Linked DNA regions of Callithrix jacchus. The protein of the gene in region 3 purifies or fractionates together with the protein of the main gene of each other region. This does not show direct contact. Links are inferred from orthologs where the notes say so. Each region holds a gene or a part of one and is shown on either strand. Other genes may lie near its edges.

Region 1 (2,305 bases), on a different chromosome or scaffold from region 3:
GAGCTCCAGGCGCATGGCGGCATTCTCTCGTGCCAGCTTGTCCACCTCGCGCTCCAGCTCTGACTTCTGCTTCTGCAGCTCCTCTTTCTGGCACACGCGCTTCACGCGGCAGCTGGCGGCGTAGCCGCGGTTTTTGAGTGTGCGGCGCCGCTGCTTGAGCCGTGTCACCTCCTCGGCCGAGAGCCCGCGCAGGTGCCGGTTCAGCTCGCGCACCGACAGCCCCATCAGTGCCTCGTCCGACAGGTGCGGCGTGTTCTCGCTCAGCTCGCGCTTGATCTGCAGGTAAAGGGAAACTGAGGCCCAGGGACTGGGGACGCCCCCCCCACCCCCCCCGCCGCTCCACCTCCAGTGTTCCTCCTTAAGCGCCTTAGCTGCTGAGGTGGCGGCTGGACTTGATCCCAAACCCCAAAGGGTAGCAGGAATCAGGGAAGGGAAAACCGGGCCAAACGAGGATAGGAAAACACAAAAGGAGGCCATCCTGGGGCTCAGCCTGGATTCTAACCTAGCGCCAAGCCCTGGACTCAGCCAGAGAAACCCAGCCCGGAAACCACCTTTGAATGCCCCCGGGGGACATTGACAAGATGCAGAGGGAAGTGACCTATCCCAGGGACAGGCAGCCTGTGACGAGAGCCCAGGCCTCCTCGTCCCAATCCATGGCTGTGGCCCCCACTTTGGCATCATGAAGGCTCGAAGCCTGCTGAGCCACCCAGGGGGTTCCAGGAAAGAAGGGGAAGCTGGGATGAGGAGCTCTGCAGGGGCAGGGATTGACAGAGGCTGCCTCCTCACCTTCAGAGCTTTGCTGGATAAGGGATCCACAGACATGTTTGCAGGAGGTGCCCTCTGGGCTGCAGACCTAGAGTAGAAAGGAGGCAAAAGTCGCTTTGTTTTGTTTTTGTTTTCCCATTTAGAATAAAATCCAAACTCACTACGTTGGTATTCAAGGCCCCTGCTCTCTTAGAACGGATTCATACCTACCACCTTCCTCTCTCCACACTGGTCCAGCCACAGTGGCCTCCTTAAAGCCCATTCCAGCCTCCGGACTTGTGCACATGATGTTCTCTTTGCTGTTCTATCTCCCCATAGTGACTCCTCATTATTTAGGCCTTTGCCCAATGTCACCTCCTCGAGAGGTCTTCTTCTTCTTCTTTCTTTTTTGAGACAGAGTCTTACTCTGTTGCCCAGGCTGGAGTGCAATGGCGCAATCTTGGCTCACCACAACTCCGCCTCTTGGGTTCAAGGGATTCACCTGCCTCAGCCTCCCGAGTAGCTGGGATTATAGGCGGATGCCACGACGTCCAGCTAATTTTTGTATTTCTAGTAGAGACAGAGTTTCTCCATGTTGGTCAGGCTGGTCTCGAACTCCCGACCTCAGGTGATCCTCCCGCCTCAGCCTCCCAAAGTGCTTGGATTACAGGCGTGAGCCACCGCACCTGGCCTGCGGTCTTCTTTGACCATTATGGCTAAACGTTTCTTTGTGCACATCAGATCACCCCATCTGTGAACCCTTGTAACAGTCGCTTCTCATTTCTCAGGCTCACTTCCTCAGCTATAATTGGTTTCTCCTTTCCACCCCTCCTCCCCCAAAACAGAAACCCACGAAGGCAGAGGCCTTGCCTGTCTCTCCATGACATCAATATGCCTAAACGAGTGCCTGGCATATAACAGATGACCCAATGAGTGTGCACCAAATGGACAGACACTCCTCTCCTGGTCATTCTTCCACATGGAGCGCGGACATGTGCATTTGGTTTGATTTTTCACAACTTTTTTTTTTTTGAGACAGAGTCTCACTCTGTTGCCCAGGCTGGAGCGCAGTGGCTCAATCTCGGCTCGCCACAACCTCTGCCTCCTGGGTTCAAGCGGTTCTCCTGCTTCAGCCTCCTGAATAGCTAGGATTACAGGCTCGTGCCACCACACCTGGCTAATTTTTTGTACTTATAGTAGAGGAGGGGTTTTGCCATATTGCCCAGGCTGGTCTCAATCTCCTGACCTTGTGATCTGCCCGCCTCAGCCTCCCAAAGTGCTGGGACCACAGGCATGAGCCAACACTCCCATCCTGATTTTTCAGAAGTTTTCTTAAAGTATAACCTACATACAGAAAAGTACACACAGCATATGTGCACCATTAATGCCTTTTCACAAAGTCCATCGGACACCCCATCAGTTACATCAGCCAGTCCCCCCTTCCCCAGGCCTCTTTCACCTAGACCTGTGTTTTGGGAAAGCTTCCCCAACTACCTGGGGGCTGCCCAGCACTAACTCAGCATGCCGTAGGCAGATGGGGCAGCCAGCCCTAGACCAGTGA
Region 2 (3,518 bases), on a different chromosome or scaffold from region 3:
TATGAGCCATTCTCTGCCATGCATGCCCACAGGCCTTCCCTTGGTGAAAGCCAACAAGCTGCCCCCCTCAGCCCCAATGCTGTGATGCCAGGCGTGCCACGTGCACGCAAACATGCCACCCCACGCAGGCGGCCTCCCACAACGTGCCCACTCCCGCAGGCCCCTAAGGCAGAAGCAGTTCATAGCCACTCCAACAGGATAGCTGGAAGGACGGATGCACCATCCACGCCCCTCCGTGGGGGCTGTGGAGTTGGTCAGTGCAGCGAGGGGCCCCCGCACCAGCTGGAGGGCCGTGACAGGACAGGTGTTGATAGCTGTTCACAGCAGGAGTGGAAGACGAGCCACATGCCAGCCCAGCCACAGGGGCCTGACTCCCAGGGCCGTGTCTCCTGGAAGCCCCTGCAGGGGACAGCGGAACTTCCCGAAGGCATTCCCATCGATCCAACCTGACTCTCACGTGCACAAGACACCAATTCCCACACACAGACACATCCTGCAGGGAGCCGGGGGCAGGCGTGAGTGGGTGCGTGTGTGTGCATGTGGACCGCTGGGCTTACCAGAGCCCACTCCTCGCCCTGCACCAGTTTCATCCCGGCTTGAGCTGCCTGCACCTGAAGGGCCTGCACTTGGACTTGGAGGTTGAGAGTATGTCCCAGTGACAGGCTTGAGGGGCACGACCCTGCTCGCCTGCCCGCCGCCCCCCGCCTCTAGCAGGCACTATGAGGCGGCCGAGAAGGGTACAGAGGTGGAGGAGAGCTCGGCGGACTTGACGATGGTGATGACACTGGTGGTGGCCACCTTGGAGGGTGCCACGGGCCCGCGGGCCACGGTGCGTGCGAAGGTCTGCAGCGCCTCGTACTTGGAGCGCAGCGCATCCAGCTCCAGCCGCATGCTGCTGTTCTCACGCGCCAGCTTCTCCACCTCCTGCTGCAGCTCCACGCGCTGCCGCTCCAGCTCCTCCTTCTGTGTCACCCGTTTAATGCGGCAGCTGGCCGCGTAGCCACGGTTCTTGAGTGTGCGCCGCCGCTGCTTCAGGCGGGTCACCTCTTCCTTGGTGAGGCCCCGCAGGTGCTGGTTCAGCTCCCGCACTGACATGGACACCAGCTCATCGTCACTGAGCACTGGGGCGTTCTCGCCCGCCTCCTTCTTGACCTGGGGGGCCATAGCACAGGGTCAGTGCAGGAGAACACGGGGTGCCCGCCTGGGATCAGCACCGGCGTGGTCAGGGACTCAGCAGTACCCCTGCATGCCTGTGCACTCCTGGGGCTGGCCTTCAGACCGCAAGACACCATGCACGCAGGCAGCCCACATGATGGCTGTGGCCCCACAGGACCCTTTCTGAATGAGAAAAGCCAGTGGTGACATTGGTCACTCCTGGTTACTGACAGCCTCAGAACCCCGCGAGGACCCAGAGCACATAGGTTCTGCTGCTGGGACTGAGCCCATCCACAGGCATGTGTCGTTGCAGAGGCAGGAAGCACCGGGCACAGATGAGCTCAGGCCCTGGGAGCTGGAACATCCCATTCATTAGAGGCCACGCTGCCCACACCTGGAATGGGAGGATGAGGCCACACTGCTCACACCTGGAGCTGGGGGATGAGCTCATGCAGTAGTGCCCAGTGGGGACGTGGCCCTGTCGGGTGGGCATCAGACCCTACCAAGCCCACAACCTGGGAGTCATCTCCTGGGGCCACAATCCCTGATCCTGACCCCACCTCTCCTGTGAACATCCCCCAGACACAGCACCCCATCTCTTCCTGGCAACAGGGAGGCCTCCATCACAGGCTCAGGGCAGCCCTGGGAAGCCGGGGTGTCAAGCTGGGGGGCCTTTCCCACGCCTGTGTTTGAGACGGGGCCTGCCTGGAGCCAGTGCCTGCCTGGAGTCAGCCTTACCTTTAATGCCTTGTTCGGTTTGGGATTAGTCGTCATAACCTGGGCAAAGTCACCAGGACAGAGCTCTCTGGAACTCGTAGCTGGAAAACACGGGCAAGCAGAGAAGCCAGCGCAGGTCAGGGCCAGAGGTGCAGGATGGGGTGGCCGTCTCCCATGCAGGGACCTCCTCAGCCTGGGATGGATGATCACAGCACCCTGAAAATAAGATGGGGCACCATTCCGGCCCATCCCCAGGGGCTCCCCAGGACATCCTGGTCCAGCTTCTGTCTCTGCCCAGGGTTCCAGGAGGTGGCCTGGCCACACCTCATGCTCTAGCACAGTCTGAAGAGTGGCTGGGACCCCCACCCCAGAGCCTAATAGCCACATGCAGCCCCCTGCTGCCCTGTGGATCTGAGCTGTGGTCGCCGGCGCTATGGGGTGACCAGCAGGCGCCAGCAGTGGCTGCTTCCTGCTGTGACTCTCCCTGAGGTCGGACAAGACATCTGCACCTGCGTGACACAAGGTGCTCTGTCCTGAAGACCAAAGTGACCACTGGCAAAACCTCCCTCCCCCAAGACGGCTGTGCTGGCCCCAAGGCCCCGCTGGACAGCGACCCTACCCTGGCAGACTCCAGTGCTCCAGACGCAGCCTGGATCCCTGAGAGGAGGCCTCTGGGGAGCCCCTGCCATCGCCAGCTTCCCCCAAGGTGGGCCTGGGTGAGGCCCCAGCCGCCTTCCTGCCCCACCCTCCCTGCAGGCCACGGGTCACCTACCACGGCCCCAGCCGCTGCGGCTGTGACATCACCACCTCCACCTAAGCTGCCCCCAAGCAAGGACCCTGCAGCCCGAGGGGGTGTGGGGCTCCTGAGGGGCAGCGGGTCCGGTGCCGCAGCCAGAGACCAGGGAGGTGGAGAGCCACCGCCTTGCCGAGTGTTAGACTGTCTGGCGGGAGCCGTCCCCGCCGCCGCCCCCACCGTCCTCACGTCTGCATTGTGTCACACATTCTAATCATTCATGAAAAACCCAGCCAAAGCATCCCCGGCATGATCCCTCTGATAGTTGTCATGGCGACCTTGGGATCGAGCCAGCCCCCATGGTCGTCATGGAAACCGAGAAGCCCAAAAAACGATCCTGACTTCAGGTCAGGCTGCACAGACATCACGAGGCTGGCAGGCAGTAAACAAACTCATCCGTACCCTGTAGCTGGGACAGGCAGGCAGAGGGTGCGGGGCTGCTTGTAGGACAGGGGTTCACAGCACCCACTCCCACACCCCAAATACCAGACACGGGTTCCCGAAGAAGGAACATCAGAGTGGCACATGGCGGTGGGCGGTGTCCTTGGGCAACATGGCAGTGTTGCGGGGGTGACCCCGTCCTGCCCTCCCTGCCAGCCCAGGACCCCCCCACCCTGGGCCAGGGAGCCTCGGGCCCAAATCCCTCCACCATCCAGCCCTGCCTCCGACTGGGGTTCCACTCCTGCACCCTACCCACCCCCACAACCAGAGGACGGCACAGACTAGATGGTCCCACACCAGGCTGCAGAGCCCGCTGCCCTTGCCAGGGCCAGCTGCTCTCAGGGTGCTGACGTAGACAGCACAGGACGACACCAGCCGGTCCTGGAGAAGGCCAGGTGGGCTCCAGGCCCCT
Region 3 (4,232 bases):
GACTTCAAGGAGTAACAGTACAAAGTAATTTTCACAAAATTTGCGATATACATATTACACTCCAATGTGTAGATTATCTTCAAGTGTTCCATTGCACCTTTTTACATATCACTGCACTTCAGATCAAGTACATTTAAACAAACCAACTGTGAGCTTGTCTCCAAATTCAATATAGAGGTTATCAAATGAAATTTTGTATTTTTTGTATTTCCATCCCCAATATCCACAATGTAACAAGAAGTTTATACTCAAGCTTCTAATCTTTAAAGTAAAATGCACAGAGAATAGACCTATAAAACTTAAATGGAATAATTAAGAACATTTTGAAAGAACTCTTAGGAGGAAACCATAAAAGAAAAAGCATTCTAGTTGTTGAAAAAATGTTACTGACGGTGATGAATGGACTATGCTCCCCAATAAAAAAGAAGTGGGCTCATGTACACACATTATATAATATGCACATAATGTATCTTCAAGCTTAATGTCTTTCTTAAAAGACATTTTAAAAGTTTTAATATATTATTTCCAAGTGAACCTCCCCTGCACCCCACCTTAGAGGCACTAATACTTAAAAAATTCATGATTTCTAATCTCCTCTAGTCCCAGACTTAAAGTAACAAAATAAATAGTTTTTCCCAATACAAAATGTTTTAAATGAACTACCATTAGTAGAAATCATTTTTTTCACCAAAGGTAAGGGCCAAATTCCCAGCTCTACATTTCCCATTCCTAAACTGTGTGTGGGTTGTGTGCTCCTTTTTAAAGCAAGAAGCAATGACACAAGGTGTAAAGACAGTAGTGTCATACAATCAAGACAATGAGACAGGTATATATGGTTGGCCATTCATTAAACAGCTCTTTCCAGACTTGACCCGATACAACCTGTTAATTCCACCCATATTGCGCTTACCCTCCTCTGACTCCTGAAATTTTTTGTGTATGCATAAAAAGCCAAGGGCCATGAAAAACAGAGCAACTCCGCTCTGTGTAGTGAAGCACAAATTAGGCTCACTGCTTGAAACTTATAGACCACATAACAAAACCACAAAAAGGAAATTCAGTCCAGTAAGAGTAGTAAATATTTTTGTTACAATACTGTTTATTGGATTACTCCTAGCTGCCAATTTCTTCCCAAGTTTTGGCTCTCTCCAGTGCAAATTTATTCTCAGACTTCAGCTAACAAGGCTCTGTGTTTAAACACCACCTCAGTGCTACTGGCCACTGCCTAAGAGTGCTCTTCCACTTCACTGAATACCTGTATCAAAACAACCCAGCTGGGTCCCCTTCAGCCTTCTGAAGCAACCCCTCTAGAGCGCTTCTTGGCCTGTTATAGTGGAGGCATGTGATTAGAGAATCTGCACCAGCTGTTTCCAATTACCTCTCAAGCTGGGGCGAATGACTCAGCAACCCAACTTTTTTAGAGTCATCCTACCTTGTTAACCAACCAACATACTCAACAATAGTAAACCACTTGACAGAACCATGGGTTAAAAAACAATACAAGAATCAGTACACCAAAGCTACTCTACTCCAAGCTGACTCACCAGGAACCTTTTTTTCCCTGGGCTACTTTAAGATGTCCAAAGGCAGAAGTGGCAAGTGCCTTCTAGCCCAGCCCAGCCCTTGCACCACTACCCAAAGACCAGGAAGGAAGCCGGCCTCTTCCCATTTCTCTGCTTGACTACGTGAAGCGCTCAAGCGCTGTGCCACTAACACACTGGGATTTCCACCCTTTATCCTTCTGAATTGCCTTCAATGCAAACCCTCTGGGATGTAAAGAGGGTTCAAATATATGAACAAATTCCCATAGCATCCTCCATGGGCAACAGTCCCTACACCTAGATAATTCTTCAAAAAGCACAGCACCCTACAAAAACAAAAACAGTCTTTGTTCCTCCAAGCATGACATTGTAGCTTGTTCTTCCCATACACGTTCTTTCACAATTACTACTACACTTTACCTGGAATCAGCACACATTTTACGCAGAAGCCTCACTCCATAAAAGCATTCCGCACAATTCTACTCAATGACATGCAACAGCCGTGTAGAATGAGAGAGCAACGGCACTCGTGTTACATTACCCGAGCACAAAGCTGGTGTCTCCAGAATCAACGCCCACTCTCACCATATTGTGCGAGGCTTAATTACAAAGCGTGGGCAAAACTCCAACAAAGGGAGTCCTGGGATCTCCGGTCCCCAAAGCCAGTCTTCGGTAAATCTAGCTCAACACGGTGGCCTTCTCTCCCCTGCCCCAAACTCGGCCTTTCTCACGCGACTGCACGCGCGACAGGCACCAGGCTGGGGAAACGCGAGGCTGGGCAAGCGGTGGGAGGTGACGGAGGACAATACGGGGCCCCAGCCTCGAGGGCGGTGCTGATGTGTCACTGCCCGAGCGGGCCGCGGGCGAGGGGCCGGGCTGGCGCCCGAGGGCGGGGAGAGGGGGTGAGGCAGGGACCCCAAGGCCACCGGCCCCCGCCCGCCCCGAGTAAAGTACGGCGCGCGCGGGTAAACAACAGCTCCGGCCGCGGAAGGAGGTTCGAGCGCCGACGGGACGCCCCTTCCGGCGTCACGGCCACTTCCAGGACTCGGACGGCAGGCACCCCCCCCCCGCGCCCCGCCCAGCCCAGAAAGAGCCGCCCCCGGCCCGCCCGCGCCTCCCCCGGACCTGCCCGCGGGCCTCCCCTCACAGGCCCGCGTCCCCGACCGCGCTAACCCTCCCGGAGAAGGCCGGCAGGACGGCCGAGCCACTCACCAGAGCTGAGGCGCGGCGCTGCCCGACTGACTGCAGCGAGCGAACCCGGCGGGCGGCGAGGGCAGCGGTCAGGTGACTCACTCCTTCCGCGCGGCCAGCCGCCCCCACCCTTCTGCGCCGCTCTGCCGCCGCCACCTCGCGGCGCCAAAACCCCGCCCGCCAGCTGGAGGCCCCGCCCCCGGGGCCGATGCCCCGCCCCGCTGCCCTCGAGGCGGCTGTCAGCGAACGAGCGAGCGCGGTAGCGCCGGCCGGGGTCGCAGTGGCCGGAAGCCCACGCGGGGGGTTGCAGGGAGGGGTTGTAAGGGCCAGGACGGGGCGGGCCTCGGGGAGGGGGCGGTGAGGTTCCTGGACCTCCGCGCGCTGCACAGCCCGCAGCCTGAGCTGACTTCCACTCGAGGACCGACTCTCCTCTCCCTTCTGAGGGCAGGACGGAAAGCCGAGCGCCCCCTTGTCCCAGGAACTGCAGGACGCCCTAATGCAGCAGAGGCGCAGCTTGCCAGGGTGCCCGCGGACAGCAGGAGGGAGAACGGGCGCTGGCCCCACAAGGCTCGCTTTACCCCCTTGAAAGCCCCTCGGCTGCCTGCCCTGGGGGTGGCGGACGCCCAGCTTCACAGGGTACTTGAGCTTGCTGGTGGGCACATGTGAAGTGCGTCCAGGTTTTTGTGGAGAGCGTCTAACAGTTGCTCTACTTCTGACTGTCAGTGAAACAAGGGCGCCCAAGACAGGTGTTCCCTTTTCAGTGTCGCTGCCAGGAAGCTTCCAGCCAGGTTCAGCGCCCAGTAGTGTCAGCCGGCCCATCTCGAGCCTGGGTTCCACTGTCATCTTTTGGTGCTTTTTCTGGTGTTTATCCAACTGTCAGTTTTAAAATTATGTTCCCAAGCCATTTAACACCTCTGGGGTTCAAAGCACGGGCCGTCAGCAGAGAGGGGTGCACGCGCAGTGGAGGGGTCTGGGCACGCCAACCCCACAAGGGTTACAGCGAGATGGCACGGACCTTGAGGCCTGTAGCCAAAGGACGATTTGTGTGAAGGGATTTTGTTGTTAGCTTTGGAGACAGCAACAAGAAGACAGCCCTGGAGTTCCTGGGGCAAAAAGGATACCAAGATAAATAATCAGGTATTAGCACTAACACGACCGCATTTGCACCCACAGGCTGTGGGACTTGGGGACGTTTGAGTTACCTCCAAAATACATGAGAAAAATCACATACGTGAAGTTGGATGGGAGTGCAAGGGGTGAAGTGATACATTATGACCTAGAATTACGGGGGGGGGGGGGCGGTCCTGGAGGAGGTGACATTTGCATTGGGTCTTAATTGGGAAGAGGAACCCAGCAGTCCAGAGGTAAGAGGTACTTCACATCCCAGGCTGCCTGAGTTCATGGTGGAAGTGCAGATACTTAGTGAAACACGAGGAAAGGACACTTGGAAACACACCATGAAAGAAGGATTGGAGTTCTTACAGACACATGGGAGTGTCC
Region 4 (3,518 bases), on a different chromosome or scaffold from region 3:
AATTCTCCTGCCTCAGCCTCCCGAGTAGCTGGGACTACAGGCACGCACCACCATGCCCAGCTAATTTTTTGTATTTTTAGTAGAGATGGGGTTTCACATTGTTGACCAGGATGGTCTCGATCTCTTGACCTCATGATCCACCCACCTCGGCCTCCCAGAGTGCTGGGCTTATAGGCATGAGCCACCGCGCCCGGCCTAATTTTTGTATTTTTAATAGAGATGGGATTTCACCATATTGGCCAGGCTGGGTCTTGAACTCCTGACCTTGTGATCCACCCACCTTGGCCTCCCAAAGTGCTGGGATTACAGGCGTGAGCCACTGCACCTGGCCTCACATTTTGGACTTTTTAATAGTTTTTGTTGTTTTTTTTTTGACATGGAGTTTTCCTTTGTCACCCAGGTTAGAGTGCAGAGGTGTGACCTTGGCTCACTGCAACTTCTGCCTCCTGGGTCCAAGCATTTCAGGCCTCCCAAGTAACTGGAATTATAGGCACTTGCCACCATATCTGGCTAATTTCTTTGTATTTGTAGTAGAGATGGGGTTTCACCATGGTGGTCAGGCTGGTCTAAAATCAGTTTCAATACATTTGTATATTGCTTGAGTGTGGGTTTTTTTTTATTAGGGTGTATAAGAATATAAAAGTTTAAATGTCTTTTTAAAATAGGTTCATACATTTTATGAAGCTGTGGGGTACATGATTGGTGCACAAACAGATCAAACAGTACAAGAACACTTAATAGAAAAATACATGCTACTCCCTAATCAAGTCTGGGATAGTATAATCCAGCAGGCAACCAAAGTAAGTATTTCTACTTTTTCTTAACGTTTTTATGGGATTGAGGAAGTCTGTGGGGTTTTGTTTTTGTTTTTGTTTTTCTGAGACGGGGTTTCACTCTTGTTGCCCAGGCTGGAGTGCAGTGGGGAGATCTTGGCTCTCCGCAACCTCTGCCTCCCGGGTTCAACCAGTTCTCCTGCCTCAACAGGAGAATTCCCCTGTGCCCAGTGAAGACTGTGTTCTTTACAAATGTATTGAATTGAGACCTTGTAACATGTATGTCTGATCCATAAGTACTTTTATCCGTGGCTTTGCACATTTAAAAAACTATCTGGACCTGGTGCAATGGCTCAGGCCTATGTTTCTAGCACTTTGGGAGGCCAAGGGGGGTAGATCACCTGAGGTCAGAAGTTCAAGATCAGCCTGCCCAACAAAGCAAAACCCTGTCATTACTAGAAACAGAACAATTATCTGGGTGTGGTGGCCCATGCCTGTAATCCCAGCTATTCGAGAGGTTGAGGCAGGAGAATTGCTTGAACCTGGGAGGTGGAAGTTGCAGTGAGCCAAGATCAAGCCATTGCACTCCAGCCTGGCCAACAAGCGGGCGGGACTTTGTCTCCAACAACAACAAAAAAAATGCTGGGCGCAGTGGGTTATGCCTGTAATCCCACCACTTACGGAGGCTGAGGCGGGTAGATCACGAGGTCAGGAGTTAAAAACCAGCCTGGCCAAGATGGTGAAACCCCGTCTCTACCAAAAATATTAAAAAATTAGCTGGGCGTGGTAGCACACGCCTGTAATCCCAGCTACTTGGAAGGCGGAGGTGGAGAATTGCACAAACCCAAGAGGCAGGGTTTTCAGTTAGCTGAGATCATGCCACTACACTCCAGCCTGGTTGACAGAGCGAGACTCCATTTCCCAAAAAGAAAAAATTATCCATGGTACAATTTTAATTCTCATTTGATCTTAAAATGGAATATATTATTTTATTCTAGATACAGACAAAAATACTTTTGTGTTCCTTTTAACATTTGGGATTATAAATGTGGTTTACGGTAGGGGAAATGTAGTGGCTTTTGCTTTAGTAATTATGTGGATAATTCTTATGTGATAAATGGAATTTGCTTTTTTTCCTCCAAGAATGTGGATATACTGAAAGATCCTGAAACAGTCAAGCAGCTTGGTAGCATTTTGAAAACAAATGTGAGAGCCTGCAAAGCTGTTGGACACCCCTTTGTAATTCAACTTGGAAGAATTTATTTAGATATGCTTAATGTATACAAGTGCCTCAGTGAAAACATTTCTGCAGCTATCCAAGCTAATGGTAGGTGATTCTGAATTCTTACACAGTGTAGTATAAATAAAGCATGGCTGGGCGTTGTGGCTCATGGCTGTAATCCCAGCACTTTGGGAGGCTGAGGGGGGCAGATCACCTGAGGTCAGGAGTTCGAGACCAACCTGGCCAATGTGGAGAAACCCCATCTCTACTAAACAAAAAAGAAATGAAAAAGTAGCAGGTCGTGGTGGCTCATGCCCTGTAATCCCAGTACTGCAAGGCTGAGACAGGAGAATCGCTTGAACCCCAGAGGCGGAGGTTGCAGTGAGCCAAGATCACACTGCTGTGCTCCATCCTGGGCAACAAAGAGCAAAACTTTGTCTCAAAAAACAAAAAAGAAAAATCATTTCCACTTTTACTTCCTTAAGTCAAACATTCAATATTTTTCACAGATTTAAATTAGACCTCCTGTTTCCCAGATGACCCTAGATATATTTAAAACAGTTGGGGTACCTTTCCCTTTTAAGATTAGTCTTAGGCAAGGGTAATTTTTTTTTTTTGGGGAGATGGAGTTTCGCTCTTGTTACCCAGGCTGGAGTGCAATGGCGCAATCTCGGCTCACCGCAACCTCCGCCTCCTGGGTTCAGGCAATTCTCCTACCTCAGCCTCCCGAGTAGCTGGGACGACAGGCACGTGCCACCATGCCCAGCTAATTTTTTGTATTTTTAGTAGAGATGGGGTTTCACTATGTCGGCCAGGCTGGCCTCGAACACCTGACCTCTTGATTCACCCGCCTCAGCTCCCAAAGTGCTGGGATTACAAGCATGAGCCACTGTACCCAGCCGGATTTATGCTTTTTAATGATAAAATGAAATTTCAACTAATGTATACCTGAGTACCACTGTATGATTTTAGTGGTAAAGTTAGATTCCATTTGATTCTGTTTTGTAGGTGAAATGGTTACAAAGCAACCATTGATTAGAAGTATGCGAACAGTAAAAAGGGAAACTTTAAAGTTAATATCTGGTTGGGTGAGCCGATCCAATGATCCACAGATGGTAAGTGAGAGATGCTTTGCTTGTGGTTTTTAGTGTTGATGCTGTGTTTTATGGAATATGTTATACTCTTTTATGTGCATTTTACTAATTTAGAGGATGTCTACTTTGTGGTTATTTTATGGCATTCTATATATTGTAGTCTTTATGTTAATATACTGACAGTTGTATTTCATCTTCAAAAGAAAGTGCTGTTAATAAGGAAGTGTGGTGATAATGTAACAAGATAGCTAAGAAGATTTGGTCATTTTATATTTCCATAGATAGGTTAGGAGGATTTAGTTAATGGAGTATAGGTGCTATTTTTGCATTCCTCTTGACTTTTTACAACAATTAATAGAGCTACAAAGTTGTCACTACTTTACCTTTTTTTAAATAAGAGATAGTTATGACAAACCCACAGCCAATATC
Region 5 (3,518 bases), on a different chromosome or scaffold from region 3:
TGGTAAACACTTGTTTACACATTTTGGCTATTATAAATAATGCTACCATAAACATTTATGTGCAAGTTTTTATGTGGACATTTGTTTTTATTTCCCTGAGAAATAATAGGAGGGAAGTCACCAGATCATTTGATAAGTCTATGTTTAATCATTTCAGGAAGTATCAGACTGTATTCAATTGAGATTGGGTGTTTTCAGGGTGATATGGCCTTAGAAAGATCAGACTGTATTCAAAAGCGTGTCAAACCATTCTGTATTCTACCAATAGTGTATGAGGATTCCAATTTTTCCACATCGTTACCAACATTTGTCTGACTTCTTTATCCTAGTCATTGTAGTGGATATCACGTGGTATCTCATTGCGACACGACTTGCATTTTCTTAGTTGGTAATGATGTCCGTCATCTTTTCATTGCTTACTGGCCATTTGTATATCTTCATGAAAGAAACGTCTATTCAGACTCTGCTTGTTTTTAAATTGGATTATTTGTCTTTTTGTTGTGAGAATTCTTCGTCGATTCTGGACACAAGTCTCTTATGTATTATTTGCAAATATCTTCTCCCATTCTGTGCATTATCTTTTCACTTTCTTGATGATGTCCTTTGACCCACAAAACTTTTATGAAGTCCAGTGTGTCTATTTTTCCCTTTGTTTCTTGGTGTCTGTCTCCTCTGCCAAATTCAAGGTCAGGAAGATTTACCCCTGTGTTTTCTTCTAAGAAGTTTATAGTTTTAGCTCTTACATTTAGATCGTTGTTTGATCTTGAGTTGATTTTTGTATGTGGTGCGAGGTTAGATCCAGCTTCATTCTTTAACATGTGGACATGAAATAGTTCCCACACTATTTTTGAAGAGACTATTCCTTCTCCAGTTAATGGAGTTAGCACCCAATTAAAAATTCATTTAGGGCCAGGCACGGTGGCTCACACCTGTAATCCCAGCACTTTGGGAGGCTGAGGTGGGCAGATCACATGAGGTCAGGCTTGAGCCACTGCACCTGGCCAAGGACTCTTTCTTTTTTATGATTTCATTTCTTAGACGTGGGGACACGTGGATTTCTTGTTTGTTACATGGATGTTTTGCATGATACTGAGGTTTGGGGTATGACTGGTCCCATCACCCAGGTAGTAAGAATAGTACTCAATAGGTAGTTTTTCAGCCCTTGTTTAATGGCTGAAAAACACGACATCCGATTACTCTCAAAGGCATTTTTTCTCCTTTTGTCCAAATATATAAGTTATACTTTTCTATTTATTGATATGCCATGTAATGTTTTATTAGAAAGTAAATTTTTAGATTATATATTGTAGCATTTCTGGGCACAGCTCCCCCTCCTTTTGAGGCTTATTTGCTTGTTTGCTTAATAAGCAGCTCAATTATTTTAGTGAGCTTATCCCGCTACCTTTCCAGCCCCCAACAGTGTTGCGCCTCTGATGTTGCTGTTGAGGGAGGTACAGTTTTCGGTATGCCCATAATTACCCTGGGATGACACTTGCTTTGGTAGGGCAGCTTTACTCTCTTTCCCTGAACCTAGTGGCTGTAAACTCCAGTAGATGCTGACTCCTTGCTTTATTATTTTCAACAGTAACCTGGGGCATAAATTACTCTATAAACGAATCCAACCAAATTCTGACTCTTGTAGGAATTCCATCTAAGAGCAGTGCTGGGTGTTTATTTTGACTACAGAAATGCTCCTCCCAGCTGTCTTATTCCCTAGTTTTCATCTGCAAACTAACCAGTGTACTGTGTAGCCTATGTATTAAATCTCCTCCCAATTCTCTCTCACTGTAAACTTTACTGTCCTTTAATGGTCCCCAACCATTTTGGCACCAGCAACAAGTTTTGTGGAAGACAGTTTTTCCACAGACCAGGGGTTGGTAGGGATGGTTTCAGGATCAAACTCTTCCACCTCAAATCATCAGGCATTAGATTCTCATAAGGAGCATGCAACCTAGATTCCTCATGTGTGCAGTTTACAATAGCGTTCACACTCATGATAATCTAATGCCACAGCTGATCCGACAGGATGGGGAGCTCAGTGGGTAATGCTTATGCTTCCTGGCTCTGGCTCACCACTCACCTCCTGCTGTGCAGCGAGGTTCCTAACAGGCCACGGACTGGTATCCATCTGCAGCCCAGATGTTGGGGACCCCTGCTTTAGAGCACCCTTAGGTTTCAGCTTCTCCAAGCTCTGTTGCAGGTGAAGTCAGTTCTTTTGCGAAGAAATGAGGAGTAGACCTACTCATTTCTTTATGGCCTACTTCTCTTTTCCGCCTCTTTCCCCCAACAATATCTCTAAGCCAGGACTAAACCTGAAATTGGGACAATGGCACCTTTCTCTCTGAGTGACATCTCTGCCCTAGGAGCTGAGTTTTCACTGGACTTGTGGGAAAGAGATGAGGAATAGCCTCAGGCCCTCTTGACTCACCTCTCCTGGTGTAGAACCATCCCCTCATCAGCCAAAGCAAAGGTGATCAGGGGCCCTGCATTTTCAACACACTGTGCCCAGAGTGAGCTTCTGTTTCATGAATGGGGCTGAGTGAAGGAAGGGATCCCCCACGTTACAACTACATTTGTCTAAGATGTAACCGCAGCAACAGGGAGCTGGGGACAAAATGAGAAAATCTGATATCCTGCTCCTCCTGGGAGGAAAGCCTCTGACTCGGAGTTGGAGGAAAAGAAGGCCCTGTGTTCTTGGCTGTTGCTATCTGGCAAGGACTCTGCCTTGCTAAGCTGGGTGTGGGAAGGCAGGAAGGAGTTTTGGCTTAAATACTGCAGACTCTCATCCTTTTCACCAAGTTTTTGCAGGTTTTCTTGAATAGATGTTTCTTCATTTGCTGTTTTTTCCTTAGGCTGATTTTCAGAGGCTTTAACTGGTCAACATTTTATAACTTTTAGTTTCACTAGGGAACAGGTCAGCAGAACTTTCATGCCGGAAGTCCATCTCAGCAATTAATTAATTTTGAGTTGAACTTTTATAAGAAAAATAGCTTTGTAGCTGTAGAGGGGCAAGGAGATTTAGAAGACTGTATCTCCTTGGTCACAGGTGTTTCAAGTCATTTTGTAATTCAGTCTTAAAGGCTGTGTCTAGTAGTGATTTTTGCCATTGGGTGTGACAATACAGAAACAACTTTGAAATTTGCTCACAACATTGGTAACACATTTCACTGACATAATCTTTAATAATTGTTTATTACCTATTATTTTTCTTACCTAGGAAGTATCAAAACTCCGCTGTCTGCTTGCAAAAAAAAAACAAAGTGAGACAAAACTTCAAGATGAATTGAATAAAGTCCTAGGTATCAAACGCTTTGATCCTTCAAAGGCTTTTCATCATGAAAGTAAAGAAAATTTTGCCCTGAAAACCCCATTAAAAGAAGGTAAGACATGAATAAATGTATAGAAGTGTCCTCTTCCTTTGGATTTGCTTTCACAGCATTTAGCAAGTCATCCATTTTATGAACTGTGAAAATTTGTTGACACCTTCTGATGTAAAAGCAGTTCTTAATGAGATTGTT

What was found. Proteins that work in one complex are often made in the same cells at the same time.
Region 1: the proteins of BACH1 (region 3) and MAFF purify together in Homo sapiens (affinity purification with mass spectrometry; 3 studies listed by BioGRID and IntAct, counting the BioPlex papers as one, with this or other methods). This does not show direct contact. The link is inferred for Callithrix jacchus from reciprocal best matches to the Homo sapiens genes BACH1 and MAFF.
Region 2: the proteins of BACH1 (region 3) and MAFK purify together in Homo sapiens (affinity purification with mass spectrometry; 6 studies listed by BioGRID and IntAct, counting the BioPlex papers as one, with this or other methods). This does not show direct contact. The link is inferred for Callithrix jacchus from reciprocal best matches to the Homo sapiens genes BACH1 and MAFK.
Region 4: the proteins of BACH1 (region 3) and XPO1 purify together in Homo sapiens (affinity purification with western blotting; 3 studies listed by BioGRID, with this or other methods). This does not show direct contact. The link is inferred for Callithrix jacchus from reciprocal best matches to the Homo sapiens genes BACH1 and XPO1.
Region 5: the proteins of BACH1 (region 3) and HMMR purify together in Homo sapiens (affinity purification with mass spectrometry; 6 studies listed by BioGRID and IntAct, counting the BioPlex papers as one, with this or other methods). This does not show direct contact. The link is inferred for Callithrix jacchus from reciprocal best matches to the Homo sapiens genes BACH1 and HMMR.

Annotation. Positions count from the first base shown.
Region 1 is NC_133502.1:209,199,864-209,202,168, reverse strand, and holds part of MAFF (transcription factor MafF), read right to left. Parts: intron 1,315-2,305; 5' UTR 1,052-1,314; coding exon 972-1,051; intron 854-971; coding exon 787-853; intron 277-786; coding exon 1-276. UniProt on the Homo sapiens protein: Since they lack a putative transactivation domain, the small Mafs behave as transcriptional repressors when they dimerize among themselves.
Region 2 is NC_133503.1:57,496,276-57,499,793, forward strand, and holds part of MAFK (transcription factor MafK), read right to left. Parts: intron 2,816-3,518; exon of another isoform or gene 2,674-2,815; coding exon of another isoform or gene 2,645-2,673; intron 2,089-2,644; coding exon 1,894-2,088; intron 1,155-1,893; exon of another isoform or gene 1,153-1,154; coding exon 718-1,152; 3' UTR 1-717. UniProt on the Homo sapiens protein: Since they lack a putative transactivation domain, the small Mafs behave as transcriptional repressors when they dimerize among themselves.
Region 3 is NC_133522.1:35,359,645-35,363,876, reverse strand, and holds the start of BACH1 (transcription regulator protein BACH1), read right to left. Parts: upstream 2,811-4,232; 5' UTR 2,083-2,810; exon of another isoform or gene 1,962-2,082; intron 1-1,961. UniProt on the Homo sapiens protein: Transcriptional regulator that acts as a repressor or activator, depending on the context. Binds to NF-E2 DNA binding sites. Plays important roles in coordinating transcription activation and repression by MAFK.
Region 4 is NC_133515.1:52,634,810-52,638,327, forward strand, and holds part of XPO1 (exportin-1), read left to right. Parts: intron 1-665; coding exon 666-800; intron 801-1,916; coding exon 1,917-2,100; intron 2,101-3,003; coding exon 3,004-3,110; intron 3,111-3,518. UniProt on the Homo sapiens protein: Mediates the nuclear export of cellular proteins (cargos) bearing a leucine-rich nuclear export signal (NES) and of RNAs.
Region 5 is NC_133503.1:26,276,116-26,279,633, forward strand, and holds part of HMMR (hyaluronan mediated motility receptor), read left to right. Parts: intron 1-3,217; coding exon 3,218-3,380; intron 3,381-3,518. UniProt on the Homo sapiens protein: Receptor for hyaluronic acid (HA). Involved in cell motility. When hyaluronan binds to HMMR, the phosphorylation of a number of proteins, including PTK2/FAK1 occurs.